7 linked regions of the Macaca mulatta genome follow. The protein of the gene in region 7 purifies or fractionates together with the protein of the main gene of each other region. This does not show direct contact. Links are inferred from orthologs where the notes say so. Each region holds a gene or a part of one and is shown on either strand. Other genes may lie near its edges.

Region 1 (3,949 bases), on a different chromosome or scaffold from region 7:
GACTGGGCTTCCCACCACTTAAACGTGGATGTACTTGCTTTGAAACTAAAGAAGTAAGTGCTTCCATGTTTTGGTGATGGTAAGTCTTCCTTTTACATTTTTATAAGGTTTTTAGAAAAGGATTTTATTCTCGTTTATTTAAGCTTTATTTTGTATTTTTAAGTCTGTTAAGGTGCCCCCTCTACTTTAACATGGAGGCACTTGCTGTGGTAAGACAAAAATAAGTGCTTCCATGTTTGAGTGTGGTGGTTCCTACTTAATCATCGATTGCGTTAACGCCCACATTGTGTGCAGTTCTTTGCTACAGGCCACTACTGTTGCTAATATGCAACTCTGTTGAACACAAATTGGAATTGCACTTTAGCAATGGTGATGGATTGTTAAGCTAATGACAGGATTTAAACCACAGACTTACTTTGATAGTACTCTTAATGGTATAACTTCTTCTCCCATTTTATGTCTCTCTTTATGTTTTTTCTTGTGTTTCCTTTTTGTTTTTAAGAGAGAGCTGTCTTTTAGATCTCCAGTATCCTTCTCCTCTTCAGTAGAGATTTCTATATCTTGAAATAAATAAAAAAGCCAGTTAAGACTTGCGGCTGTGAAATGGGTGAAACAGAAGCTTAATTTATATAAATAAAACCTTGCAGTTTACCTCTATTTTCCTTGGAAGCTTCTGAAGGTTCCTTAATGATGTCTTTCTGAATAATTTTCTTTACTTTTGATCGCGGACCCAGGGACTCTGCATCTTCAGAGCTGCTTCTCTTCCTCTTGCCTGTTCTGACTTCAGGTAAGCTCGATGCTTCAACTCTGTCCCGCTTTTTCTTTTTCTTTGAGGATTGCTTTTGGGGTTCAGTAGACTCAATGTCAGAGCCCTCAGATGTGGGCCTGGATCTTTTCATTTTACTGATGCTGGTGTTGGTTGTGTCCATATTTTCCTCTTTGGCTTGGACATTGTCTTCCTTTTTCATTCGGCCCTTCTTCTTCTTTTTCTTTTTCTTCTCTTCTGTAAAAGTGCCATCATTAGTTCATCTTACTTCAATTACATCTACTTAAATATTGAAAAATACTCACCCACAACTCTTAAGGCTGGAATGGGCTTATTTTTCACTGTTTTAGGAAATATGCCAGGTTTTCTTGGTGCTTCTTCTGGTGGGTTGTTAAGAAACTGAAATGATTGAAAAAAAGTTTTACTATTTTAATACTTGTTATATCTATACATTTTTTTTTTCTAGGATCTGGACCTACCTCAATTGCCTTTGCTGCTTGTTCTTTTGTTTCAAATTCCACAAACGCAAATCCCTTTGGATCTCCAGTAGACTTATAATGTGGTATACTGATATAAACAACATTGCCACATTTCCCAAAGACTCTTTCAATCCAGCTGTGATTAACATTTTTGGGAAGTAACTCCTGTGATAAATTAAAAGCAATATTAAATAGTTTTTTGCAATGCTTATATTTTCAGAATGTCAATAAGTTTTTAACTTAATTACATTGTTTCTGTGCCAGTTTCTGACTGGGGACCCGGGCTCTTAAGCTTACCACATACACAGTGCGCTCATCCTCATCTTTTGGTCTTTCCCCCAGAGGTTTTTTCCTCCTGATTCTGGTGCCTTCCAAATCAAGCTTTAAAAGAGTATTATTACATTAATAAAACTATAATAAACTATAATAATGATCATTACGTTAATATTATTTATAAACTATAATTATATAGTAATGGCAGTCATTCTTAATTCTTACCTCTACGACAGCTGAACTTCTTAATGCTCTGGCAATTAACTTCCCATCAGTAGTCAATTTTTTCATTTTGTTAAAAGACACAAGTAGTGATATATCAACATCTAATGAAAATGAAAAAGTTAATAATTGTGTTAGTGTACACTATCAGCAGGATTAATTCAATCTGGTACAATTTAACCTGCCCCTCAGGCCGGGCTTGGTGGCTCATGCCTGTAATCCTAGTACTTTGGGAGGCCAAGGCGGGTGGATGGGGGAGTTAAAGATCAGCCTGGCAAAAAATTAGGCTGGGTGTAGTGGCACATGCCTGTAATGCCAGCTACTCTGGAGGCTGAGGCAGGAGAATCGTTTGAACCCAGGAGGCAGAGGTTGCAGTGAGCTGAGATCACACTGCACTCCAGCCTGGGAGACAGACTTTGTCCATTAACAGTATTGTTGTGTGAGGGTCTAAATGGTATTGCATATTTGGCATACCTAAAATGACACATCTTAGTGTATGTAATTGCAGATTGAGGTTTTATTGCTTAGCAACATCCAGACATTCAAAGAGGATGTCTGGATCCCATCCTATTAGAAACAAGCACATGGCTGGTCATTTGAAATTTATCAACTGGGGACAGTGGCTCAATGCCTCTTATCTCAGCAATTTAGAGGCGAAGGTAGATCTCTTGAGCTCAGGAGTTCGAGATCAGCAACATGGTGGGACCCCATATCTACTAAAAATGCCAGAAAAAGAAAAAGCAGGCCTGATGATGCTTGCCTGTGTTTTCAGCTACTGGGGAGGCTGATGTTGGAGGACAGCTTGGGTAGGGCTAGGGGGTGGAGGTGGGGGCAGAAGTTGGAGTGAGCAGACATGGAGCCAGTGCATTTCCTGCCTAGGGAAAAAAGATAGACCCTGCCTCAAAAAATGTGAAACAAAAAATAACATTGAGCTAGGTGAAATGCCTTCTTGTATGAACTAAAGCATAGCACTCTCATCTCAAGTTACACATGATAAATGGTTATTGAAGCAATTAAATCCCAAAATACTTACAAGCTTTGATATGAAACTGCTTATTTATTTATTTTTTTTATTTTTATTTATTTATTTTTTTTGAGACGGAGTCTCGCTCTGTCGCCCAGCCCAGGCTGGAGTGCAGTGGCGCGATCTCAGCTCACTGCAAGCTCCGCCTCCCGGGTTCACGCCATTCTCCTGCCTCAGCCTCCCGAGTAGCTGGGATTACAGGCGCCCACAACCGCGCCCGGCTAATTTTTTGTATTTTTAGTAGAGACGGGGTTTCGATCTCCTGACCTTGTGATCCGCCCGCCTCGGCCTCCCAAAGTGCTGGGATTACAGGCGTGAGCCACCGTGCCCGGCCGAAACTGCTTATTTAATATAGCCTAAACTCTTACCAACAGTCTAAATATTTAGAAGACTGTCATTCACTAAATAAAAATTAAAACAGATGACAAGGAACATACTTGCAGAAACGAATACATACATTATAGAATATACTATTTTAGGCTGGGTGCAGTGGCTCACACCTGTAATCCCAGCATTTTGGGAGGCCGAGGTGGGCAGACCACGAGGTCAGGAGTTTGAGACCAGCCTGGCCAACATAGTAAAATCCCATTTCTACTAAAAATACAAAAATCAGACAGGCATGGTGGTGCGTGCCTGTAGCCCCACCTACTCAGGAGGCTGAGGCAGGAGAATCACTTGAACCCAGGAGGCAGAGGTTGCAGTGAGCTGAGATAATGCCACTGCACTTCAGCCTGGGCAACACAGCAAGACTCCATCTCAAAAAAATATATAGATATACTATTTTATAAATAAATTGAAAGGCAACCACATCTAAAAGTTGGTTCCTTTACTGAAGCAAACTTACATCCATCTCTAGATTTTTCTATCTGTTCTCGAAGAAATCTATCCTTGTGAAGATTTGCATCCCCAAACCAGAAGTCCACTTGCTTAGCAATATCTGCAAGCACCTGTTTAACTCGTGACCGTTTCTTTTTTTCAACTTCTTTTTTCTTTTCAGTGCTTTCTTCTTCCATTACGTTTTTTTGATTTCCACTTTCAGTTTCCATTCCTGTGAAATATAAGAAAAAGAGGTAAATATTTAAATAACCACAATAGCTAATATAGTTAAATATTTAGATTAGCCTTTATTTAATTGTCTGAGAGAATAATGGACTCACATTTGGCTGTGAGAAGACAAACAGAAAA
Region 2 (4,575 bases), on a different chromosome or scaffold from region 7:
AAAGAAAGAAAAAAAGATAAAAGACCAAAAAAGAAAAGTTATTTATAGAATGATATTTCAAAATTCTTCTGGCCAGGGTTTTTTACTCACACAGGCATTAAACCAACTATTATTCACTCTTCAAAGTACTTAAAATTACAACAGACCTTTACTTACTTGGCTTAACGATGGCCTTTTCTGGAATAAGCTCTTGAGAAGTCTCATCTAATTCAACAAGAATTCTACCTTCCAAGGTTGGAATGTTTACATCTTTCAAACCAAAGTGTCTATTTCGTTCGTATTCCTTATGCCTGTTTTCTTTCTGAGACAGTGATTTCCTATGAGCAATTTTAGTTCTAATCATTTCAGTACTTAAATCCTTCCTGTGTCGACTGGCAAAATGTGATGAAGACATCCTGTCAAGGAAAAGGACAAAACCCAACTTACATGAATTTTCATTATTTAAAAAATTAAGATTATAGTTCATCTCCTGTCCCACTTCAGGGCCTTCTGAAATAAAAATATAAAATGTGCAATGAAAGAAATATGTAACACTGAAAAGTGGGAAGATGATTATCAGAGCATAAGAAGCTACCTATTTGGGGGGTTTTAAATAGGAACTTGCTTGACCGATGAAGAGAAAGCCAGGAAGCTATAGTCCAGAATAAAAGAGGCTCTGGGCTTAGAGAACACTGCAAAAAGAAAAGCGTGAACTAAAGGTGAAAATAGGTTAAGTGAAGGACCATGTACAGAATGGTTTCCTTACCCATGACGACGAATGCAGGTAGTCTAACATTTCCTCTAAAGCCAAAAAAAAAGCAAAAAAAACCAAACAAAAACCCCACACCAGGTACCTATTAGTCATGTAGAGATAATCAATAGGCAGCCAGATACAGATAGAGTTGGATAGAGAGGCACAGGGCAAAGTATGTGGAAAGGAACAAGGAGCTTCCATGCTCTCTCAGGTAGCACCACCGTTTAGGAACCTTCATGTGTTCACCTAAGAAGCTCTCCAAACACAGGTGTTTTTTTTTTTTTTTTTTGTGGTTTCTATGGCAGCTTCATTACATAAGCATGAGTGATTAAATCATTGGCCACTGGTGATCAAGTCAACCTTCAGCTCCTCTCCCCTCCCCAGAGGTTGTGAGGTGGGGCTGAAAATCCCAACTCTGTAATCCTGCCTTGGTCTGTCTAGTGACCAGCCTCAATCCAGAAGCTACTGAGAGGCATCCAGCTATCAGTCAATCATTAGCATACAAAAAGATACCACTTAGAAGACTCCAAGGATTTTAGTAGTAGTTTACCAGAAAACAGAACAAGACCAAATACATAGTTCACAATAACCCTATCAGTTTGCTCCATTATTTTCATCCATACAAGAAATCATACAGTTTAGGCTGGCAGGGTGGCTTAGGCCTATAATCCTACCACTTTGGGAGGCCAAGGTAGGAGGATTGCTTGAGCCCAGGAGTTTGAGACCAGCCTGGGCAACATAACACGACTCCATCTCTATAAATTTTAAGAAAGAAAAGCCATACACACATACACACACACACACACGCACGAAATCATATAGTTTACTTGGCACATGCCTTTTTCTTGGAAAGATCTTTGAGAATGTATTCAAGCAAAACAAAAGAGGACAATAAAGACGATGCCAGTGGGTCCAACTGGGAACAAAGAAAACTGGAAAGTTTGAGGGGGTCACCTGGGTAGCTGGTATAGAGAACTACCAAGCCAAACTGGAGAAAGGATACTGATTCTCAGAAGTCTTGGCAGTTAAAAAACAAAAAACAAAAAAAAGGTAAGGGGGGAGGCTCTGTGATAGGCACACTATGGTATACTCTTTAACAAGAATTAACTAAATCCACTAGAAAACTCCAGACAATAGGAAAATTGGCACAAGTAATGCAATAAATTGTTACATGATTCTTAGCAATCGACAAAATATAAAAAATGAGAATCTGACCTGCACGCTAATAACATTCTCCTCTAAGACCCAAGGAAAGTGACAATGGACTGTGCTTTTCATAAAGAACTCTTTTCCACTATTTATCTCCTGCAGCATTAATTCGCTGAAGATTGAAGAAAAATTAACACTTATGTATTAAATACAGGCCAGCACTATCCACAGCAAGAGAAAGAGCGAGCGAGGACAACATTAAAGGTATAATTATCAGAATAACCCTGAAAGATAGTTACTATTATCGCTCTCATACAGATGAGGTCAATTAACAGCTCACATCAGCATATCTAAAAGGTGGTGAAGCCGGGATCCCAAGCCAGGCACCCTGACTCTTCACACACACCTAAATTTTGTTTGGCTGAGTGGCGTTTCCTCCAGCTTGAAAGTCTAGAATGCGTTAATCTTGCTTGACTAGAGGTTCTCAACCGGGCGTTTTTAGTTGCCATGGGACCTGGGAAGAGCTACGGAAATTTAATGTCGGAGCTAGTGAAGAACAGTTTCACCCCAAAGGCCAATTACGCCCCGGTGGTGAAACACTGACTTCTACAGAGGTCACGACAAACATACGGACTCTTCTAAAGGTTCGCGTTATCAGCTTCAGGAAGAGCAGGTAACACCCTCCTAAAGGAGCCTGCCTCTGACTGGCTCCGACGCTCGCAGTCCCCGGTCCTCAGACCCTTCTAGACCTTCAACGGAAGCGGGCCAGCGTTCTCCGTCCAGCTCTTCAGCACCCACCTACCTGAGGCACCTTCTAGCGTGAAACCTCAACCAAACAAAAAGTAAAAAACACTCGTTCTGGACGACCACCGCCGACTCCGAAGCAGGAACCCTCACAACCCGAGCCTCCACGAAATTCAAACTTTCCGCACGGAGCCGCTGATTGGAGGGGTTTTAACCAACACTTCCGTGGAAGATCCCGCCCCTTCCACTCAACTAGGCTTGCGATTGGTTTGCTCCTTGCGATATTTGAATTGATTGAAAGGTGAAGGGACGGTTCAAAAGATGGGTGTGAGAGGGAAAATAGGCGGGACGGCGACGCGGGATGAGAAGGGGTGGAGCGGTGAGGGCGCTCACCTCAGGTGAAGGGCAGGAGTGGGCGGCGGAGCCCAGGGGGTGATGCTGGGCCCCTGGCGAAACTGGGCTGCGGGAAATCTCCCCCAGAACTCCTGCGGCTTTTTTTGGTTTTGTTTTTGTTTTTTGAGACAAGGTATCAGTCTCGCTCAGGCTGGAGTGCAGTGGGCACCGACCACTGCTCACTGCTCACTGCTGCCTCGACCTACTGGGTTCAAACCATCCTCCCACCTCAGCCTCCCGAGTAGCTGGGACTATAGGCGCGCACCACCACGCCTGGCTAACTTTAAAAAAATTCTGTAGAGACAGGGCTTCACTACGTTGCCCAAACTGGATTCAGGGCTTTTTAATATCTTTGTTTAGTCACGGAACCCAGCAGACCTTCTTGAAATGTTTTCTTTACTATACGTTTTTTAAAAAAGGCTTACCCCAATTATTAAAAACTTACATCGTTTAGTGTTACTTTTCAACGTCGCTAGCCCCTCCCCCCCTTTTTTTCTTTTCTAGTTTGTTTTTTGTTGAGGTGAAGTTTTCGTACAGTGAAAATAATAGTTTTTTGCCGGGCGCAGTGGCTCACGCCTGCAATCCCAGCACTTTGAGAGGCCGAGGCTGGCAGATCACAAGGTCAGGAGATCGAGACCATCCTGGCTAACACGGTGAAACCCCGTCTCTGCTAAAAATACAAAAAATTAGCCGAGCGTGGTGGTGGGCGCCTGTAGTCCCTGCTACTCGGGAGGCTGAGGCAGGAGAATGGCGTGACCCTGGGAGACAGAGCTTGCAGTGAGCGGAGATCGCACCATGGCACTCCAGCCTGGGCGACAGAGTGAGACTCTGTCTCAAAAAAAATAAATAAATAAATAAAAAATAATAGTTTTTTTCCCCCCAGTGGACAATTTGATGAGTTTTGGTAAATGTACACAGCTGTGTAACTACCACCCAATCAGGACGTAGAGCATTTCCATCACTCAGAAGAGTGGCCTGTTTCTTTCCAGTCCATCTCCCACCGCATCAGCAACCACTCCTCTTATTTCTGACACTATAAAAATGAAGGTGATAGGTACTCTGTTGGGTCTGCGTGAACCAGAAGTTAGTAGTGTTTGTTATTGAGAGGCATTCCATTGAATACTTTATGCATTCGCCAGTTGATTGATATGTATTGCTTTCAATTTTTGGCTATTATGAGCAAAGTTGCTATAACCATTCTTGAACAAGTCCTTGTGGGCATGTTTTATTTTCCTTGAGGAAATACAGGAGTGGAATTTCTGGGTCGTTCTGGGTATGTTTAACTTAATTTTTTTTTTTTTTTTTTTAGAAGCAAGGTCTCTCTGTCCCCCAGGCTATACAGTGGCACAATCATAACTCACTGCAGCCTTGGCCTCTTGAATAGCTGGGACTATAAGCGGGTGCTGTCACCCTTGGCTATGGGTATGTCTAACTTTATAAGGAATTGCCAAGCAGTTTTCCAAAGTGGTTGTACCATTTTACAATTCCCACCAGTCACGTATAAGAGTTCCACTTGTTTCACATGCTTTCCAGCATGTGGGGTTGTCAGTCTTTAA
Region 3 (3,791 bases), on a different chromosome or scaffold from region 7:
AAAGAAAAGCATAATGGCTAACTCAGTAGACCCTGATTCTAGTTCTATTCCTTTCACTAAACTATGTGATTCTGAGCTTGACCTTTGACTTCTTTTTTTTTGAGACGGAGTTTTGCTCTTGTTGCTTGGGCTGTAGTGCAATGGCGCAATCTCGGCTCACCACAACCTCCGCCTCCCGGGTTCAAGCGATTCTCCTGCCTCAGCCTCCAGAGTAGCTGGGATTACAGGCATGCGCCACCACGCCTGGCTAAGTTTGTATTTTTAGTAGAGATGGGGTTTCTCCATGTCTGGAACTCCTGACATCGTAATCCACCTGCCTTGGCCTCCCAAAGTACTGGGATTACAGGCGTGAGCCACCTCACTCAGCCAACTTAATAACAGCGAGCAAAGGCCTTGGCGCAGTCATGTATAGCCATGAGTCAAATGATAGGTAACCCTGTGTCATGAGGGTCCAAGCAGGGAATCTGGGCCCAACCATGATTTGCTACAACCTAGGATGAGCTCTGGCTTTAACTTGGTTTTCATGCTGAAGGAAGCCTCTAAGGACCGTCCTGGGTGCTCCTCTTTATAGGGCCTTGATGCCTTGTAAGCCTGGCTTCCTTAGGAGTGAGGAATTGATGTCTATCTGGATACGTAGGTGCCCTGGACTGCTGGGCATTGGTATCAGGAGAGATACCCACATGCCCTGTGTTGAGGCAGATGAGTCATGCAAGAGCAGTGCTCTGAATCTGGGTCTTCTTCTGAATCACCTGCAGAGCTTTGGAAACAATGCAGGTGCTTGGGCCTCACCCCAAACCTGCTGATTTGGAGTCCATTACACTGGAACATGTACTCAGAAAGTTCTATATATGATGCTACTTCTTTTCTTTTCTTTTTTTTTTTGAGATGGAGTCTCACTCTGTTGCCCAGGCTGGAGTGCAGTGGCACGATCTCGGCTCACTGCAAGCTCTGCCTCCCGGGTTCCTGCCTCAGCCTCCCGAATAGCTGGGACCACAGGTGCCCGCCACCACGCCTGGCTAATTTTTTTTTTCATTTTTGTATTTTTAGTAGAGACAGGGTTTCACCATGTTAGCCAGGATGGTCTCGATCTCCTGATCTCATGATCCGCCTGCCTCAGCCTCCCAAAGTGCTGGGATTACAGGTGTGAGCCACCACGCCTGGCCCATGATACCACTTCTAACCTCCCCTTAAAACACCACTATTACTGAGTCTCTATCCCTCAGAGGTGCTGCTTTTGTTTTGTGTTTTTTTTTGAGGCGGAGTCTCATTCTGTCCCCTAGGCTGGAGTGCAATGGCCGGATCTCGGCTCACTGCAAGCTCCGCCTCCCGGGTTCACGCCATTCTCCTGCCTCAGCCTCCCTAGTAGCTGGGACTACAGGCGCCCGCCACCACGCCCAGCTAATTTTTTGTATTTTTTTTAGTAGAGATGGGGTTTCACCATGTTAGCCAGGACGGTCTCGATCTCCTGACCTTGTGATCCGCCCGTCTTGGCCTCCCAAAGTGCTGGGATTACAGGCTTGAGCCACCGCGCCCGGCCAAGGTGCTGCTTTTGAAATTAAAATAATTATAAAGCTGGATAATTATGTACTTACTTTGTCTGGAGATGGGGTTGTTTGTAAGTTTTCTTGTAGAAGTTAATTCTGTTGACATGTTGATTTAGATAATTATTTTCTTTAGATTGCCCCCATGGTTTTAGCTTTCCTAGTTTAGGACAGAGACAAAGAGTTTTAAGAAGATTGTTTGATTTATATTCCCAACTTCATTCCCTTCATCTGTGGTTACCTGCTATTGACAATTATACTTTTTTCTTTGAGACAGAATCTCACTCTGTTGCTCAGGTTGGAGTGCAGTGGTGTGATCTGATCTTAGCTCACAGCAACCTCCGCCTCCTGGGCTCAAGTGATCCTCCCAACTCAGACTCATGAGTAGCTGGGACTACAGGCACACACCACCATGCCCAGGTAATTTTTGTATTTTTTAGTAGAGACGAGGTTTTGTCATGTTGCCCATGCTGGTCTCGAGCTCCTGTTCTCAAGCAATCTGCCTGCCTTGGCCTCCTAAAGTGCTGGGATTACAGGCGTGAGCCACTGTGTCCAACCAATTTGCAATTTTACAAAAAAGAACTGGGACCCAATTTCTGGAAGTTTACGTGTTGCTTTTTTTTGGTTTTGTTTTGTGTTTTTTTTTTTTTTTTGAGATGGAGTCTTGCTCTGTCGCCCGGGGTGGGGTGCAGTGGCCGGATCTCAGCTCACTGCAAGCTCCGCCTCCCGGGTTTACGCCATTCTCCTGCCTCAGCCTCCCGCGTAGCTGGGACTACAGGCGCCCGCCACCTTACCCGGCTAGTTTTTTGTCTTTTTAGTAGAGACGGGGTTTCACCGTGTTGGCCAGGATGGTCTCGATCTCCTGACCTCGTGATCTGCCCGTCTCGGCCTCCCAAAGTGCTGGGATTACAGGCTTGAGCTACCGCGCCCGGCCTGTTTTGTTTTTTAAATTTTTTTTTTTTTGAGACGGAGTCTGGCTCTGTTGCCCAGGCTGGAGTGCAGTAGCGCGATCCGGGCTCACTGCAAGCTCCACCTCCTGGGTTCACGCCATTCTCCTGCCTCAGCCTCCCGAGTAGCTGGGACTACAGGCGCCCGCCACCTCGCCCGGCTAGTTTATTGTATTCTTTTTAGTAGAGGCGGGGTTTCACCGTGTTAGCCAGGATGGTCTCGATCTCCTGACCTCGTGATCCTCCAGTCTCGGCCTCCCAAAGTGCTGGGATTACAGGCTTGAGCCACCGCGCCCGGCCTGTTTTTTAAATTTAAATATAGTTTTTGTTTTTTTTTAATTTTTTTTTTTTTTTTGAGATGGAGTCTTGCTCATCGCCCAGGCTAAGGTGCAGTGGCGCCATCTCGGCTCACTGCAAGCTCCGCCTCCTGGGTTCATGCCATTCTCCTGTCTCAGTCACCCAAGTAGCTGGGACTACAGGCGCCCGCCACCGCGCCCGGCTAATTTTTTGTATTTTTTTTTTAGCAGAGACGGGGTTTCACCGTGTTAGCCAAGATGGTCTCGATCTCCTGACCTTGTGATCCGCCCGCCTTGGCCTCTCAAAGTGCTGGGATTACAGGCGTGAGCCACCGCGCCCAGCCTTTTTTTTTTTTTTAATTTTTTAGACGGAGCTCTGTTGTCCAGGCTGGAGTGTACTGGCACGATCTCGGCTCACTGCAACCTCTGCCTCTGGGGTTCGTGCAATTCTCCTGCCTCAGCCTCCCGAGTAGCTGGGACTACAGGCACACGCCACCGTGCCCAGCTAATTATTGTATTTTTAGTAGTCGAGACGGGCTTCAGTGGCTCTCTATAGGCACAGTCATAGCATACACTGCAGCCTTGAACTCCTGGCTGCAAGTGATCTTCCCAGTTCAGCCTTCCATATAGCTGGGAGTACAGGCATACATACTACTACACCTGGCTCTATGTCCTGCTTTTCTTTTTTATTGAGATAGGGTTTCACTCTGTTGCCCCGGCTGGAATGCAGTGGTACAGTCATGGCTTACTGCAGCCCAAACCTCCCTGGCTCATGCAATCCTCACATCCCAGCTTCCTGAATAGCTAGGATCACAGGCACGTGTCACCATGTCCAGCTAATTTTTAAATTTTTTGGTAGAGATAGGGTCTTGCTAAGTTGTCCAGGCTGCTCTTGAACTCCCAGGCTCAAGTCATCCTCTTGCCTGTGCCTCCCAAAGTACTGGGATTACAGCCATCAGCCACTGCACCCTGCTGAATCAAGTAATTATTAATTGTTTAATGAAAAG
Region 4 (3,949 bases), on a different chromosome or scaffold from region 7:
CAGAGCAACCTAATGAAGTAGGTTTATAGGTAGGTAGATTTAATGATGAAGAAACTATGTTCAGAGTCCCATAGACAGTAGGTGGCAAAATTACCAGAGCAGTCTGTCTCCAAAGTCTTAACCAATACCACAAGTCCATCTGATGCAAGCCTGACCACAGCAAATCCTTCCCGCCTTTGGCCTTCACTGTGGGGGTGGCCTGCCAATTTGCCCTGCTGGAGGTACCAAGGCCACTTACCAAGACCTTGCCGGCCACCACGGTTGGCAAATAACTCAGGCACACGGCCTAGCTGGCCCTGTTCCCCGCAGCCCAAGGTGTAGAGGTCACCACCAGCTGTCAGCATCACCAAGTGGTCATTTCCTGAGGATGAAAAGGTAAGGGATGCAGGCCACATCTGTAAGGCCCAAGGCTGGGCCAGCCCCAGAACAAGGTCCTCCAAGTCCTGCCCCGAGCAAGTACCCCCAGACCCACCTGAGGCCACCTTTACCACAGGCACGTCCAGCTGCACCTGCACTGGCACCATGCTCTTCTTCATGGGCTCCAACAGCCCAATCACACCGTTATTGTCCTAGAAGGGAGGGACAGGGCACTTATCAGCCAGTCCTGCCTGCGCCATACCAGTGAAATCCAGAAGGGCAGTGGCACCAGATGGGGATGGAGAGGTGGGCAGGAGCCGGGCCACATACTCAAATACTTACGAATGAAATCATTTATGGTCTGCAACTTGCATTAAAATAATCAAGGAGTCAGAGAGTGGATGTAAATAGAGATAAACAAGTCTGGCCATAAGTTGATAATCATTGAAACTGTGTGGCAAGTAAACGGGCGTTCAGTATACTATTCTGGGCCAGGCATGGTAGCTCATGCCAGTCATCCTAGCACTTTGGTAGGCCCAGGCAGGCAGATCGCTTGAGCTCAAGACCAGCTTGGGCAACATGGTGAAACCCCGTCCCCACAAAAAAATACAAAAACTAGCTGGGTGTGGTGGCACAAGCCTATAGTACCAACTACTTGCGAGGCTGAGGTGGAAGAAATCACCTGAGCCCAGGAAGTTGAGGCTGCAGTGAGCTAAGATGATGCCACTGCACTCTGGCCTGGGTGACAGAGCAGGATCTCATCTCTAATTAAAAAAGAAAGGAGGCCAGACGCGGTGGCTCACGCCTGCAATCCCAGCATTCTGGGAGGCCCAGAGGGGCGGATCACCTGAGATCAGGAATTCGCAACCAGCCTGGCCAATATGGTGAAACCCCATCTCTCCTAAAAATACAAAAATTAGCGAGGCATGGTGGCGCGTGCCTGTAATCCCAGCTACTTGGGAGGCTGAGGAAGGAGAATTGCTTGAGCCCAAGAGGCAGAGGTTGCAGTGAGCTGAGATTGTGTCATTGCACTCCAGCCTGGGTGACATTCTCCATAAAAAATTCAAAATAGACGTGATAAGAAAACACCCATCAGGCCGGGTGCGGTGGCCCACGCCTGTAATCCCAGCACTTTGGGATGCTAAGGCGGGTAGATCGCTTGAGGTCAAGAATTCGAGACTAGCCTGGCCAACATGGTGAAACTCCATCTTTACTAAAATACAAAAATTAGCTGGGCGTGATGGTATGCGCCTGTAGTCCCAGCTACTTGGGAGGCTGAAGCAGAAGAATCGCTTGAACCTGGAAGGAGGAGGTTGCAGTGAGATCTCGTCACTGCACTCCAGCCTGGCTGATGGAGCGAGACTCCATCTAAAAAAAAAATAGTAAGAAGAAAACAATTTTAATACAGAATTTGGCCCTGGGCACGGTGGCTCATGCCTGTAATCCCAGCACTTTGGGAGGCAGAGGCGGGTGGATCACCTGAGGTCAGGATTTTGAGACCAGCCTGACCAACAGGAGAAACCGCATCTCTACTGAAAATACAAAATTAGCCAGGCGTGGTGGCGCATGCCAGTAATCCTAGCTACTTGGGAGGCTGAGGCAGGAGAATCACTTAAACCCGGGAGGCAGAGGTTGTGGTAAGCCAAGACTGCACTATTGCACTCCAGCCTGGGCAACAAGAGTGAAATTTCGTCTCTCAAAAGAAAAAAAACAAAAAACCAGAATCTATTTTTTTTTTTTTTTTTTTTTTTTTGAGACGGAGTCTCGCTCTGTCGCCCAGGCTGGAGTGCAGTGGCTGGATCTCAGCTCACTGCAAGCTCCGCCTCCCGGGTTCGGGCCATTCTCCTGTCTCAGCCTCCTGAGTAGCTGGGACTACAGGCGCCCGCCACCTCGCCCGGCTAGTTTTTTGTATTTTTTTAGTAGAGACGGGGTTTCACCGTGTTAGCCAGGATGGTCTCGATCTCCTGACCTAGTGATCCGCCCGTCTCGGCCTCCCAAAGTGCTGGGATTACAGGCTTGAGCCACCGCGCCCGGTCAGAATCTATTTTTTAAACTACACTCCTCTCTACCTTGGAAACTCTGAGATGCAACAATCCCTGCCTGCTTGCCCCATCTAAGCTCTGGGAAATGTGGAAGAAGCAGTGCTGGCGAGGTGAGGTGGAGACGGAAGTCAGGGAGATGGGTGAAGACAGCAGGCCTCCTGGATCAGCCTCAACCCAGGGACATCCTTGACCCACTCGCTTCCCAGGACAGACACTTGATGACATTGGATCCAAGGAAGCAGCTGGTGGTGTGGCCCACATGAAGAAGCTGGAATCCTGGGTCTGGGCCTCAGCTCTATCTGTGGGCTTTCATCTCCCCACTAGTAAGTACCACGGATGCATGGAAGTGGATTATCTTTGGGGCCCCACCAGTTAGTTCTGCCTTTCAGGCCCCATGCAGACTTCCAGACCCAGCCTTACCCGGAAGGAGCCCCAGAGGAAGACACGGCCATCCTCGGTGAGGGCTGCTGTGTGACTGTCTCCTGCTGACACCTGTACCACCTTCTCTTGCAGCTCCACTTTCCCAGGGATCATCTCCGAGCCCTCCACTGATGTGTCCCTTCCCAGGGCACCCTCATCATTGCAGCCGAAGGAATAGACCTGTGCCCAGGATGCCCTCATTAATGCAAAGTCTGGCCTCGCAGTCCATTCTCATGTAGGCCACTCCCCGCTGGACTAGCCAGCTCCATTTCCACAGTGAACATGTGTGGTTCAAAAGCCCTGCCCCAAGCCACCCAATCCCAGGCCTTGTCCAACCCTATGCCAGCCCCCAACACCTACCTGGCCACTTTTGCTTAGACACACGGTGTGCATGCCCCCAGCCTCAGCCTGCACAACATCCTCTGGAATGGATACCAGGGCCGGCTTCTTCCTCTCCATCACATTCTCACCCAGCCCCAGCTGGCCCACATCGCCCTGGCCTAGTGTCAGCACCAAGCCGGGTTCTGTGCTGTGGGACCTGTGTGAGACTGAAGGGTGAAGAAGATAGACCCTGAGTGTAGAGGATGACTACAGCGAGGAGAGGTCGCAGGCTCTGCGATCAGACAAACCTGGGCGGAAGCCCTTGCTCTGCCACAGACCGTTAGTATGAACTTTCTGAGTCTAAGTTTTGTCATCTGTGAAATGGGGACAACAAAATACCTCTCTCACAGGATTTTTGTGGAGATTAAGAACTGAGGACATTATTCACATGAAAGGGGAGAAAGGGAAACAAGGAGACACTGGATACTGTGAAATGAATCTTGGTGGAGAGGGCAAGAGGGGCCGGGTACGGTGGCTCACACCTGTAATCCTAGCACTTTGGGAGGCCAAGGCGGGCGGATCACTTGAGGACAGGAGTTCGAGACCAGCCTGGCCAACAGTAGCCTGTAATCCCAGCTACTCGGGGGGGCTGAGGCAGGAGAATCACTTGAACCTAGGAGGCGGAGGTGGCAGAGCCGAGATCGCGCCATTGCCCTCTCTAGTCTAGGTGACAGAGTGAGACTCGATCTCAAAAAAAAAAAAAAAAAAAGAAAAGAAAGCTAATTATTATTATTATTATTAGTTTGAGA
Region 5 (4,664 bases), on a different chromosome or scaffold from region 7:
TCAAGGCCAGGTGATGGATTGGGAATTTCATAGGAACTAGTAAGCCTTGGACTTTATCAACTATAAAAACAAAAAAATATAAAGCAGAAAACAGTATGTTCTAAGCATAAAGCCACAACCTCTATCCAGTTCAATGTGAAAAAATTTTTGCATCTACATAAACACACATACACCCCAATACCTAGTTATACAGATAAATCTTTACTTTCTTAAGAGATATAATCATGCATTAAGTATCCCAGGAATTCTTCCTCATACTATCTGGGGAAACTAACTGTGGCTGTTGCCCTTGTTGAAAATATTTTTGCAACAATGCTCTAAATAGTACACATTGCCAATAGTTTGGATCGTACTGTTGTGCCAACTGAAAACCCATGCCAATAAAACCCTTCACCCAGAGAGCCAGAGCCCAAGTTCAACTGGGCAAGAATAAAAGTATGGCATAATGGTTAAGTTCTTCCCTCTTGAGCTGAGAAGAACAACTCATGTAAGGAAAAGTACAAAGGACCAAGGAGAAAACCTAGAAAGGCTTCCATTAATCTTCTTGGGAGTCAACCTTCAAACTGACAGCAGTGTTCATTTTAGTATTAGAATGACTTCTTGGGAAGGAAACACAAGAGCATGCCACCACACTCCTCTCTCTACTTTGCAACATAAACCACGGAACTTACCTATTTTATTGGGATCATCTCCGGGTTTATTTTGAATAAGAAGATTTTTAGTAGGAAAAATCTGCAAGCCACTGGCCCCACCAGCAAAGACCAGACCATATTTGTTGGACACAGCAAGCAGACTCGAGCGTTCCTTGGGCAATTCCTCAGGGGAGTCAAAGATTCTCACCTTCTTTAGCGCCCTAAACTGAAAATCCTGTTGTGAAGAATCAAAACAAGATCAATTCAATAAATAAAGAAATTAAAACAAGTTATATTCAGTAGACCCAATTTCAGTACAACAAAAATATATATTACTGAGAACACGGTCTGTCTCAGTTGTCTTTTTTTCTTTTTTGAGACGGAGTCTCGCTTTGTCGCCCAGGCTGGAGTGCAGTGGGCGATCTTGCTTCACTGTAACCTCTGCCTTCCAGGTTCAAGCAATTCTCCTGCCTCAGCCTCCCAAGTAGCTGGGACTACAGACGCCCACCACCATGCCCGGCTAATTTTTGTATTTTTAGTAGAGACAGGGTTTCATTATGTTGGCCAGGCTGGTCTCGAACTCCGGACCTCAAGTCATCCATCCGCCTCAGCCTCCCAAAGTGCAGGCTCACAGGCGTGAGCCACTCCGCTCGGCCTTCAGTGTTTTCTGACATGGAACACTTCACGAATTTGTGTGTCATCCATGTAAAGGGGCCATGCTAGTCTTCTCTGCATGATCCCAATTTTATATGTGCTGCCAAAGGGAGTCTGAGATTACCATCTTCTAAGTCTGTGATTCTATTAATAAACCCTTTTTTTCTTCTACCCCAGTATATCTGAGGAATATGACACAATCCCATTAGGTGGCTCACCACAGGTGGTGATTCTCAAAAAATAATCACTATTCTAGGCCGACACGGTGGCTCACACCTGTAATCCCAGCACTTTGGGAGCCAGAGGAGGGCAGATCACTTGAGGTCAGGAGTTTGTGACCAGCCTGGCCAACATGGTGAAACCCCATCTCTACCAAAGAATATAAAAAATTAGTCAGGCATGGTGGCAGGTGCCTGTAATCCCAGTTACTCGGGAGGCTGAGGCAGGCGAATCGCTTGAGCTGGGGAGGTGGAGGTTGCAGCGAGCCGAGATCATGCCACTGCACTCCAGCCTGGGTGACAGAGCGAGACTATGTCTTAAAAAAAAAAAAAAAAAAGGCCGGGCGCGGTGGCTCAAGCCTGTAATCCCAGCACTTTGGGAGGCCGAGACGGGCGGATCACGAGGTCAGGAGATCGAGACCATCCTGGTTAACACGGTGAAACCCCGTCTCTACTAAAAAATACAAAAAATTAGCCGGGCGCGGTGGTGGGCGCCTGTAGTCCCAGCTACTCGGGAGGCTGAGGCAGGAGAATGGCGTGAACCCGGGAGGCGGAGCTTGCAGTGAGCTGAGATCCGGCCACTGCACTCCAGCCCGGGAGACAGAGCGAGACTCTGTCTCAAAAAAAAAAAAAAAAAAAAAAATCACTATTCTAAACAGGGTATGTATTACTATGCCCTACATGCATGTTAGTGATTTACTGTTCACACAGATGACTAAAATCTTCCTGCATCTTACTTCCTTTCACTATTTAAAACAGATGTAGGCCGTTTGCTGCACCCTCATTCTGTCAGAACACATATAAGAACTATTAAACACACCATCCTGAAGTTATCCCTGGGGGACTCCCACGTTGCCATCACTGGAAACACTTAGCCCTCCCTTTAGGTTCCTGGTTTGAGGCTGATACACCGATATCAAAACAGTCTTCCTAGTCCAGTCAACTAAAGGTTCTGCAGGATGGATGACCTCCCCTGACCCTACGTTAGGCAAGCCCGTACCGCCTTACAGAAATACTGGCAGAGCGAAGGTCTTAAACGATGCTGGCTTTCAGCCCCGCTGTCAAATGTGACTTTAGGGAAATCACTTTCCGAGCCTCGACTTACTCCTCTACGTTAATAACCACTTCGTAGGGCTGCTGCGATGACTACACAGCGACTGGCACACAGTCAACGCTCCATACACAGCAGTTATTGCCACTATTGTGACCGCCACATGAAACTAGCTAGGGTAACTCAAGAGACGTGCACGAGACCAGGATGGGACTGGGAAACTGCATTCGGTGGGGCTATCACGCCAGCGGCGCGGCAGACGCGCAGCTGAGAGCGGTGAACGCGGTAGTCTGTTCAAGCAGGAGACGGGACAGCCGGCACCGCGCTTCGCCTTTCAGCTGGGCTCCAAGGCAACGCCAGGACTAAAGAAGGGAGGGAGGCCCCAGTTAGTCTCTGACCTTCATCTCCCGCTCGGGAATCATGGCATCCATCTCGTCTCCCATCGCGCCGCCCTCGGTGTGTCGAAGCAGCCAACGCTGCCTCCCACGGCCTTGCCCACAGAACCTAGGCCGCTGGACTGCAAACTTCCTTCCCTCAGCGCCAGCGGCGCGCAGTTGATCTCGCATTTCCGGCGCGCGTTGGTGACGTCAAGCTTGGCCGGGGAGGCAGCGGAACCTAAAGAAGCCGCGCGTTCTCCCGGCCGCCGCTCCCCATTGGCCAACTCGTGCTGAATAGGGGCGTGGCCGTGGGGCCCCGGCGCCTGCGCCCTGGATCGTCCTGGTGCCGCTCCCGCCTTCGCAGACAGCGCGGGTTCGCTTAGTGTCAATCTGTCTTCTTGGGTGGCCCACGTCTAAGCGACCTATGCTCCTTGTTCCTCTGACACCTTACAGTTCCTCTTAGATGTAGGTTGGCTATTAGTAGCTTCCGATTCAGATAAGTTAGGAACTTGACAGATGTTTTCGGTGGGCTACTTTAGAGAGAGGCTTTGGGCTATGCAAGGGGAGGAAGGGAGGTTCAGAAAAACGGGGTTGGGGGGTCGCCAGTGTGGAAGGTGGAAGGCTGGAAGGGGAGATTAAAGGGCACGGAAGACCAGCTTTGTTTGCTCCTATCAAGGTGATCATTTCCAGAGCAAGAGCCATATGCATCTCTAGTTGCACGAGTTTGTGCCACGTCCTTTGCAAAAACCTTCAGATGTGGGATCTCATGTAATCTTGAAGACTTCTAGTCATCCTAGGGGTTATTATTTAATTGATGAGGTAGGCCAGGCGCCGGTGGCTCACGCCTATAATCCCAGCACTTGGGAGGCCGAGACAGGAGGATTGCTTGAGCCCAGGAGTTTGAGACCAGCCTGGGCAACATGGCGAGACCCCGTCTCTACAAAAAACAACAAAACAAAACCACAAAAATTAACCAGCAGTGATGGCATGCGCATGTAGTCTCAGCACACTCAGGAGGCTGAGATGGGAGAATTGCTTGAGCCCAGGAGGTCGAGGCTGCAGTAAGCTGTGATTGTACCACTGCACTCCAGCCTGGGTAACAGAGCCACACCCTGCCTCAAAAAATAAAAATGGGCTGGGCGCGGTGGCTCACGCCTGTACGCAGCACTTTGGGAGGTTGAGGTAGGTGGAACACCTGTCAGGAGCTGGAGACCAGCCTGGCCAACATGGTGAAACCCCACCTCTGCTAAAAATACAATTAGCCGGGCGTGGTGGTGGACGCCTGTGGTCCCAGCTACACAGGAGGCTGAGGCAGGAGAATGGCATGAACCCAAGAGGTGGAGGTTGCAGTGAGCTAAGATTGCGCCACTGCACTCCAGCCTGGGTGACAGAGACCGTCTCAGGAAAAAAAAAAAAAAAAAGATATATATATGTATATATACACATCCACATACATAATAATAATTGTTGAGGTAAGGGAAGCACAGGGGAAGTTGAGAAATTTCTCCGGTGGCCCTCAGTCAGAAAGTGGTAGTGACAGGATGAGAACTGAGATTGTCTGGATATAAGGCTGACTGATGATATTACAGTCTTTCGTACAATAAATTTCTGTAGTGAATTATAAATGCTCTAGGACAGAGGTTCTTAACTTGGACCTCATGGGTTGGCTCCAGTGGGGTCAGATCATGCCGTTTACTGTTTGGCTTTCAGCACGTTGCTTATCCAAGCCTGC
Region 6 (3,949 bases), on a different chromosome or scaffold from region 7:
AAATGTGTCATTTAGCACACATGCTTCAAGAGGTCAAGGTTTCTGTTTCCTTTGCTGCTATACTTCTGTTACCTGGAACAATATCCAGCACACAGTAATACTCAAATGTTTTGTTGAATGAATGAGTGGACACCTTACCCAGAATAATAATTCATGCTTATTGATAAAGACATAGACAAACCAGGGTGATAAGTTTGAACCCAGAGGAAGCCTAGGGGTGGCAGGATTCAGGGTATCACATCTGTATCTGAGAATGAGGAGGCTGTAGGAGAAGGCCTTTTGGATAGCACCCCCTAGTTCTGCCCCTCATATCTGCTTCCTTGGTCTGTCCTGATTACTTGCTGTTTCTCCTCTTTTTTTGGAGCATCTCACAGACACATTTATTCATACCACAAAGTGAACACTATACAAGTATGTAGTGATGTTCCACGTTCCCGTCTAATATAGCTGGCTTCAATTGTCAGGCAGTACACGAGAGACGTTTAATCTCACATGTACTCCAAGTAAAGCTGGAGTACCATGAGTAGGCGCAGGAGTTCTTAAAGGTTTACTTGTTGTTTTAAAAATTCTCATTTATTGGCCGGGCAAGGTGGCTCACGCCTGTAATCCTAGCACTTTGGGAGGCCGAGGTGGGCAGATCACGAGGTCAGGAGATCGAGACCATCCTGGCTAACATGGTGAAACCTCCTCGTCTCTACTAAAAATACAAAAAAATTAGCTGGACATTGTAGCGGGTGCCTGTAATCCCAGCTACTCAGGAGGCTGATTCAGGAGAATGGCATGAACCCGGGAGATGGAGCTTGCAGTGAGCCGAGATTGCGCCACTGTGCTCCAGCCTGGGTGGCTGAGCGAGACTCCATCTCAAAAAAAAAAAAAAAATTCTTTAATTTATTTAGTTACTTTTAGAGATAGAGTCTCCCGATGTTGCCCAGGCTGGAGTGCAGTGGCACAGTCATAGCTTACTGTAGCTTTGAACTTCTGGGCTCAAGTGATCCTCCTGCCTCAGGCTCTCCAGTAGATGGGACTGACTACAGGCATGTGCCACCACATCCAGCTAATTTTTATTTTTATTTTATTTTTTTGAGACAGGGTTTTACTCTGTCACCCAGGCTAGAGTGCAGTGGTGAGATCATGGCTCACTGTAGCCTCTGTCTCCTGGGCTCAAGCATCCTCCCACCTCAGCCTCCCCAGTAGCTGGGATTACAGGTGCACACCACCATCCCCCGCTAATTTTATTTATTTATTTATTTTAATAGAGATGGAATTTTGCCATGTTACCCAGCTTGAGCTGCTGGGCTCAAGCAATCTTCCCGCCACAGCTTCCCAATGTGCTGGGATTACAGGTGTGAGCCACTGCACCTGGCCAGCTTTACTTCTTTTACCAGCACTCCTGACTTTATAAACAGTGAGGCTCATCAACCCCATTTCCAACCAGATCCCCTGGTAAACTTGGGTATAGTAGGGCTTCATGGGTGGCAGCCCTGTCCCTGTCCTATTATGATGGTAGCTGTTGTGATGTGGCAATCTCTGATCTAGAAAACCCTGAGAGGCCACTGTGGCCTGCCTAGTCTCCCGGCCAGGGTTGAAACCAGACGTGCAGTGGGGCTGACCCCTGTGCCCCACCCCAGAGTCATGCCAGTGTGGGTGTGGGGCATTCTCTGGGATGAATGATCTGGATCCCATAGCCATCTGTGTCCTGTTTGAGGAATGTGACCCTCAAGCAGAGAGCAGCCAAGATGCTCAAGCAGGTGTGTGCTCGGGCCAGACTCTGCAGCCTTTGGTTTGGGACTTGACTGCCATTCACTGACAGGGTCCAGGAAATGGGCAGCTCACATGGCATTGCTGGGCATCCCAGCTGCAGCGGTTTGGCAGAGGAGGACTTGTAATGAGATGGTAGCTCCTTATAGGCTAAAACATGATTTTTCTGTTCTCTTACTACCTCCTGCACCTTCTGGAACTGTTCATTCTCTGATGCTGTTTTCCTTTCTTCCAGTGGTTTAGCTGTAGGGTCTCCATAGCAGGGGAGGTACGGTCAGACTCCTGAGATGACTATGTCCTACCCTGCCCCCCAACCAGGGGCCCCAGGAGACTCCTTTTTCTTATTGCAACTTCGGCCTCTTCAGTCTGCAGATCTCCAGGGGAGCCCACCAGCCTAGTCAGCATGGCCTCGGAAGACATTGCCAAGCTGGCAGAGACACTGGCCAAGACTCAGGTGGCCGGGGGACAGCTGAGTTTCAAGGGCAAGAGCCTTAAACTCAACACTGCAGAAGATGGTGAGTTTCTGGAAGTTGCGCACTGGTGTGTCCAGGGGAGGAAAGGGAGTGTACTGAACTCTTACTGGTTATCAGGCTCTTTCTGCTACATTGTCTCCATTATTTGTCCCAGAAGCTCTGTTAGGTATCATTGACCCCCTTCTAACAATGAGGCTCAGAGATCATTTGCCCATGTGCAAGCTCCCCTGAGCTTTGCATGTTTGCAGTGGGCATCCCTTTGTGCCCTGTCCTTTCTTTCTCAGGAGGGGATGGTAGGTAATGAGGGGCCACAGTTAGTGCCAGTCCCAAGATACAGCCTCTGACTCTGACTTCACATCTGGTGTTCTCCCACCCCTGCCCTTTACTCTCATGATCTCAGGCAGGCCTGGCAATAGGTGCAGCTTTCCCCAGAGCTGAGGCTGTGTTGGAGCTGCATTAAAACAACCTGGGCCCTCTTGGGAGATGCTGGTTCATGCAGCCAGATGTACCTGGGAGAGGGATGGCTGTCTGTGTGTATACAGGTACTGTAACCACAGAAAACGAGGAACCAGAGCGCAGACCCTATCTTTTCATCCCTTGTCAAGGCTTCGCTGCCACTGACCAACCCTGAATCCCCTGGCACCAGCAAATGAAGGCGCCTGTGTCAAGTGAGGCCTCCTGGGATTCTGGCCCAACCAGGGGAACTGGTTTGGACATGCCTGGTTGTCATGTTGTGTAGGCAGCCTTGTTCCCCCCAGGTCAGAGGCTGCTTGAGTCCTTGGGTAGCTGGGAGCGTGGTGACACATGTTCCTAACATCTTCATAAGGCCTTAACATTTATAGACTTCCTCCCTGTGCGTTTATCACTTTTATTTTTTTTTTTTGAGACGGAGTCTGGCTGTGTCACCCAGTTAGAGTGCAGTGGCACGATCTCGGCTTACTGCAAACCTCTGCCCTCCTGGTTTCAAGCGATTCTCCTGCCTCAGTCTCCTGAGTAGCTGGGATTACAGGCATGTGCCACCATACCCGGTTAATTTTTGTATTTTTAGTAGAGACAGATTTTTGCCATATTGGTCAGGATGCTCTTGAACTCCTGACCTCAGGTGATCTGCCTGCCTTGGCCTCCCAAAGTGTTAGGATTACAGGCGTGAGCCACTGTGCCCGGCCTTTTTTTTTTTTTTTTTTTTGTAGATGAGTCTCGCTGTGTCACCCAGGCTGGAGTGTAGTGGTACGATCTTGGCTCATTGCAACCTCTGTCTCCCAGGTTCAAGTGATTCTCCTGCCTCAGCCTCCCAAGTCGCTGGGACTACAGGCTCACACCATCATGCCTGGCTAATTTTTTTTTTTTTTTTTGAGACATAGTCTTGCTCTGTTGCCCAGGCTGGAGTGCAGTGGTGCGATCTCAGCTCACTTTAACCTCTGCTTCTTGGGTTCAAGCAATTCTCATGCCTCAGCCTGCTGGGCGGGTAGCTGGGACTACAGGTATGTACCACCATGTCCAGCTAATTTTCTTTTTTTGTGTTTTAGTAGAGATGGGGTTTTACCATGTTGGACAGGCTGGTCTTGAACTCCTGACCTCAGGTGATTCACTCACCTCAGCCCCCAAAGTGCTGGGATTACAGGCGTGAGCCACTGTGCCTGACCTTCAGCCTAGTTTTGTATTTTTTTTATTTCTTTTTTTTTTTTTTTGAGACAGTCTTGCTTTGTTACCCAGGCTAG
Region 7 (3,949 bases):
CCGTCTCCAAAAAAATAAAAAGAATAAATAAAAAAAATTAAAAAGGCTAGGCACAGTGGCTCAGGCCTGTAATCCCAGCCCTTTGGGAGACCGAGGCAGACAGATCACTTGAGGTCAGGAGTTCAAGACCAGCCTGACCAACAAGGTGAAAGCCTGCCTCTACTAAAAATGTAAAAATTAGCCGGGCATAGTAGCAGATGCCTATAGTTCTAGCTACTCAGGAGGTTGAGGCAGGAGAATTGCTTGAACCTGGGAGGTGGAGGCTGCAGTGAGCTGAGATTGCACCACTGTACTCCAGCCTGGGCAACAGAATGAGACTCCATCTCAAAACAAAAAAGAAAAAAAAAAGCAGAAGCACAGCAAAAACAATACTGTACAGTCTTCCCTAAGCCACTCTCTTCATTAGGGCACTGCTCTCCCTTCTTCCTGCCTTTAAGCAACAGGCACTAATTCACAAGCAAGCTACAGAATGACAGACATAGTCCATTTGGCTAAGTGCACACTGGCCAGTGGACGAAGGCAACTGGATTGTATACTCAACGGTGTACGTTCTCCTGATCCCCCTTCAATCCCTGGACGATTCCGGTATAGGCTTCCAAGCAGCTTTCCCTTAGCTCATTCAGATAATCCACCATGTCATAGTCTGACTGTAAGACACAAAGAACAGAACCTACATCATACTGAACACCTTTAGCTGCATGTTTGTCAACAGTCCCTCCAATTAGAGATAGACTTAAAGAACAGCCAAGATAGCTTTAAGCTTACCTTGTCCACCTGGGCTTGGGAGGCCTGCTGAAGAGTATTCAATACAACCTCTAAGTATTTCTTAAACTCTCCACCAATAGCAAGGGCAATATCACCAAACACTGACAGAATCTGCGGCTTCACAGACCTGTGGACGTTCTCATTCTGACAAGGAACAAAAGGAAAAATCAATTAAGTCAAAACTTGTTTGGTCCAAAGATCCACAAAAATTTCATTTCTAACAAGCAACTACTGATTTTAAATGTTTGGATGGTCCTTTATAGCTTACAAAACCTTTCCCAATTGCACCTCACATCAACTCTAAGAAGCTAGCCAGGTATTGGCATTCCCACTTTACACATGAGGCAACTGACTTAAGAGTCAAGTGACTTGTCCGAGAACACAGAAGCAAAGTAGCAAAGTTGGATATAGAACTTAAAGACACGTATAATAATTAACAATGGCTACCTCTGGAGAGAGGTATGATATACAAATGGTCCCCTGCTCATGATGGTTTTTCTACTTTACAATGTGTTTATTGGGACCTAACTCCATCATAAGTCAAAGAACAACTGTATTTACTTTTCCTTTGCATTTTACTGTTTTGTTTTAAAAACCTCTAATAGAGCACACATTCCTTTAATTAACTTTACACTTTCTTTAGAATCATCCGTGAAATGAACAACTCCCCTGTTTATAAGCCCAAAGCCAATGTTCTAGAAACTCACAGCTCCCTGTCACTGATTTTTTTTTTTTTTTTTTGAGATGGAGTTTGGCTCTTCTTGCCCAGGCTGGAGTGCAATGGCGCGATCTTGACTCACTGCAACCTCCACCTCCCAGGTACAAGCGATTCTCCTGCCTCAGCCTCCCGGGAAGCTGGGATTACAAACCCCTGCCACCACGCCCGGCTAATTTTTTTTGTATTTATAATAGAGACGGGGTTTCACCATGTTGTCCAGGCTGGTCTCGAACTCCTGACCTCAGGTGACCCCACCTACCTCGGCCTCCCATAGTGCTGGGATTACAGGCCACTGTGCCTGGCCTGTCGATATTTAACTATCTTTCCAACTATTGATTTCTTCAAAGAAGACTGGTTAATTAGATTGTGTGTAGATACTCACCCCCAAATTTTCCAGAAGCAGCTGCATCACCTCATCACAGAAAGGTATGATGTTGGATTGCAGGGCACGGCATAAGTCTCCCACTAAGCCCACAGCTGCCAAACAAACCTGCCAAGAATCAAGGAAATAATCTTCTAACAGAAAAGGCTGCCTGCTGGGGCAAGACATTATTTTTAACTAGCTGCTAGGCTTTTATCACTTGAACCTAGAGTCAAAGGAGAAAACATCTTCCCTCTGCCGAGATTAATTTTTCAGCAACCAACACGGCAGGAAGGGAACAAAGACTATCTGAGAGAGATCACTGATAAAGGTTTAAAAAAACAAAAAAAAAAGCCTTGCTCTCCAGGGTGCTGATAGCTCAACTTTACAGCTGCTCCCGCATTAGTACTGTCTAGGCAAATAAACAGTCATCTTATCCACCTTTATCTGGTGCATCTAATATCCTGTTTTTCATGGACTACTTCCAGTTCAAATATTCAGGCAATGAATAAAGCAGCTTGCCTTTTAGGAAAATGTATAAGGAAAACTACTTAAGCTATAAGAACCTGGTTTTGTCTGCACTACAGTGACTATCAGGTATAAATGGGAATATACTATTTTGAAAAGCATATCCTACCTGGTACTCAGCATAATTTTTTAATCCAATGCCCAGGAATGGTTTAAAGGCCTCCATGTACTTGAGGAATTCACCACCCAACACTGTAATGAAATAAACTATTAGCCAATGACAGCACCACGGGTTAACACAGAGGCAGGTAAAAATAACCTATAACCTACCTCTCCCAAAATGGACTCACTCCACTCAACAGGTTGGGTGGAATGTATGTTAGTTACCGATTCCATCATGAAGACATTAAAGGCTTGCATAAGCCAAATTTATTACTGCTGGAAGGGCCCTAATTCTTACACCACAGAGACAATGCCCACTCTCCACAGAATAGGGCTTTACTCTGGCTAATACAACAAAGTGGTATGGCCCTCAAGGAATGTTGGGGTTAATTTTAAATGGTCTGAACCAGCAGTACTGACTCTTGTCCGCCCCCTCATCTGATAACAGCATGTCCTTTCTGCAGGCCAGCTGCAAAACAGGGTCCTTAGGCAGTCCCATCAAGGGCTAAACAAGCCACAGTCAGGAAAAGCAGCACTGGGCTTCAGATCCAAATCAGCCACTCCAGGAGCCAAAATTAACTTCTTTGCCCTTTCAGAGGAGTGGTCACATGTTGACAGACCAGTTGGACATAGGCTGTTTATGCCAAAAACAGGTCTGGTCCTCAGGAGAGTGGTCCTCAGGTAAATGGCCTTAGTAATGTACTTACAGGCCACACATGAAGAGGCATTCCAGATTCCTAAAGTGCTTTGTAATGGCCCTTCAAAGAGTCTTAAGTCAGATATGGCTTCCCCAAACCAATTTTGCAGACATGTAAAAATCAGAAAATCAATTCCTAGAACTTGCTCAATGTTTCATTTCATCCCATACCAGGCACCATGTGTCAACCTTAGTCCAAAAGCATTACGAACCAAATCAGGTGATGGCAAGTACCAGGAAAGAAAATAGAAACTTTTGGCAGGGCACAGTGGCTAACGCCTATAATCCCAGCTACTCAGAAGGCTGAGACAGAAGAATTGCTTGAACCTGGGAGGTGGAGGCTGTGGTGAGCCAAGATTGTGCCACTGCAATCCAGCCTGGGCAACAGAACGAGTCTCAAAAAAAAAAAAAAGAAAAAAAGAAACCACCTCTACCAATCTTAGCTGCAAACTGGCTCTCCATTTAAATTGACTGACAAGGCAGTTATACAAATTTAAGTGGTGTGCACTTAAGTTCAATCTAACTTTGAAGTGACTTATGCCCCAGTAAAAGGACTATGCTTTCTGTAGTCAAAAATTCTTTAATGTCCTGGCAAGGAGGATTGCCTGGGCCCACAAGTTTGAGGCCAGCCTGAGCAATATAGTGAGACCCTATCTTCACACACACACAAAATTAAGCTGGGCCCAGTGGCTCACATCTATAATCCTACCACTTTGGGAGGCTGAGGCAGGAGGATCACTTAGGAGTTGAAGACCAGTCTGGGCAACATGGCGAAACC

What was found.
Region 1: the proteins of KPNB1 (region 7) and LARP7 purify together in Homo sapiens (affinity purification with mass spectrometry; 3 studies listed by BioGRID and IntAct, with this or other methods). This does not show direct contact. The link is inferred for Macaca mulatta from reciprocal best matches to the Homo sapiens genes KPNB1 and LARP7.
Region 2: the proteins of KPNB1 (region 7) and DLGAP5 purify together in Homo sapiens (affinity purification with mass spectrometry; 4 studies listed by BioGRID and IntAct, with this or other methods). This does not show direct contact. The link is inferred for Macaca mulatta from reciprocal best matches to the Homo sapiens genes KPNB1 and DLGAP5.
Region 3: the proteins of KPNB1 (region 7) and NUSAP1 purify together in Homo sapiens (affinity purification with mass spectrometry; 3 studies listed by BioGRID and IntAct, counting the BioPlex papers as one, with this or other methods). This does not show direct contact. The link is inferred for Macaca mulatta from reciprocal best matches to the Homo sapiens genes KPNB1 and NUSAP1.
Region 4: the proteins of KPNB1 (region 7) and RCC1 purify together in Homo sapiens (affinity purification with mass spectrometry; 3 studies listed by BioGRID and IntAct, counting the BioPlex papers as one, with this or other methods). This does not show direct contact. The link is inferred for Macaca mulatta from reciprocal best matches to the Homo sapiens genes KPNB1 and RCC1.
Region 5: the proteins of KPNB1 (region 7) and NUP214 purify together in Homo sapiens (affinity purification with mass spectrometry; 3 studies listed by BioGRID and IntAct, with this or other methods). This does not show direct contact. The link is inferred for Macaca mulatta from reciprocal best matches to the Homo sapiens genes KPNB1 and NUP214.
Region 6: the proteins of KPNB1 (region 7) and RANGAP1 purify together in Homo sapiens (affinity purification with mass spectrometry; 3 studies listed by BioGRID and IntAct, with this or other methods). This does not show direct contact. The link is inferred for Macaca mulatta from reciprocal best matches to the Homo sapiens genes KPNB1 and RANGAP1.

What each region holds. Positions count from the first base shown.
Region 1 is NC_133410.1:121,873,106-121,877,054, reverse strand, and holds part of LARP7 (la-related protein 7), read right to left. Parts: intron 3,813-3,949; 5' UTR 3,811-3,812; coding exon 3,609-3,810; intron 1,845-3,608; coding exon 1,744-1,844; intron 1,627-1,743; coding exon 1,543-1,626; intron 1,411-1,542; coding exon 1,246-1,410; intron 1,166-1,245; coding exon 1,072-1,165; intron 1,004-1,071; coding exon 653-1,003; intron 561-652; coding exon 416-560; intron 377-415; exon of another isoform or gene 309-376; intron 247-308; exon of another isoform or gene 179-246; intron 81-178; exon of another isoform or gene 12-80; intron 1-11. UniProt on the Homo sapiens protein: RNA-binding protein that specifically binds distinct small nuclear RNA (snRNAs) and regulates their processing and function.
Region 2 is NC_133412.1:128,323,927-128,328,501, forward strand, and holds the start of DLGAP5 (disks large-associated protein 5), read right to left. Parts: upstream 2,881-4,575; 5' UTR 2,685-2,880; intron 396-2,684; 5' UTR 395-395; coding exon 157-394; intron 1-156. UniProt on the Homo sapiens protein: Potential cell cycle regulator that may play a role in carcinogenesis of cancer cells. Mitotic phosphoprotein regulated by the ubiquitin-proteasome pathway.
Region 3 is NC_133412.1:18,723,321-18,727,111, reverse strand, and holds part of NUSAP1 (nucleolar and spindle-associated protein 1), read right to left. Parts: intron 1,702-3,791; coding exon 1,593-1,701; intron 1-1,592. UniProt on the Homo sapiens protein: Microtubule-associated protein with the capacity to bundle and stabilize microtubules. May associate with chromosomes and promote the organization of mitotic spindle microtubules around them.
Region 4 is NC_133406.1:212,365,875-212,369,823, forward strand, and holds part of RCC1 (regulator of chromosome condensation), read right to left. Parts: intron 3,888-3,949; exon of another isoform or gene 3,683-3,887; intron 3,391-3,682; coding exon of another isoform or gene 3,368-3,390; coding exon 3,180-3,367; intron 3,000-3,179; coding exon 2,820-2,999; intron 570-2,819; coding exon 473-569; intron 362-472; coding exon 239-361; intron 1-238. UniProt on the Homo sapiens protein: Guanine-nucleotide releasing factor that promotes the exchange of Ran-bound GDP by GTP, and thereby plays an important role in RAN-mediated functions in nuclear import and mitosis.
Region 5 is NC_133420.1:16,423,043-16,427,706, forward strand, and holds the start of NUP214 (nuclear pore complex protein Nup214), read right to left. Parts: upstream 3,118-4,664; 5' UTR 2,999-3,117; coding exon 2,954-2,998; intron 1,401-2,953; exon of another isoform or gene 1,299-1,400; intron 868-1,298; coding exon 672-867; intron 61-671; coding exon 1-60. UniProt on the Homo sapiens protein: Part of the nuclear pore complex. Has a critical role in nucleocytoplasmic transport.
Region 6 is NC_133415.1:10,224,999-10,228,947, forward strand, and holds part of RANGAP1 (ran GTPase-activating protein 1), read left to right. Parts: intron 1-598; exon of another isoform or gene 599-879; intron 880-1,993; exon of another isoform or gene 1,994-2,123; coding exon 2,124-2,273; intron 2,274-3,949. UniProt on the Homo sapiens protein: GTPase activator for RAN. Converts cytoplasmic GTP-bound RAN to GDP-bound RAN, which is essential for RAN-mediated nuclear import and export. Mediates dissociation of cargo from nuclear export complexes containing XPO1, RAN and RANBP2 after nuclear export.
Region 7 is NC_133421.1:62,353,788-62,357,736, forward strand, and holds part of KPNB1 (importin subunit beta-1), read right to left. Parts: intron 2,565-3,949; coding exon 2,482-2,564; intron 1,974-2,481; coding exon 1,866-1,973; intron 910-1,865; coding exon 766-909; intron 648-765; coding exon 542-647; intron 1-541.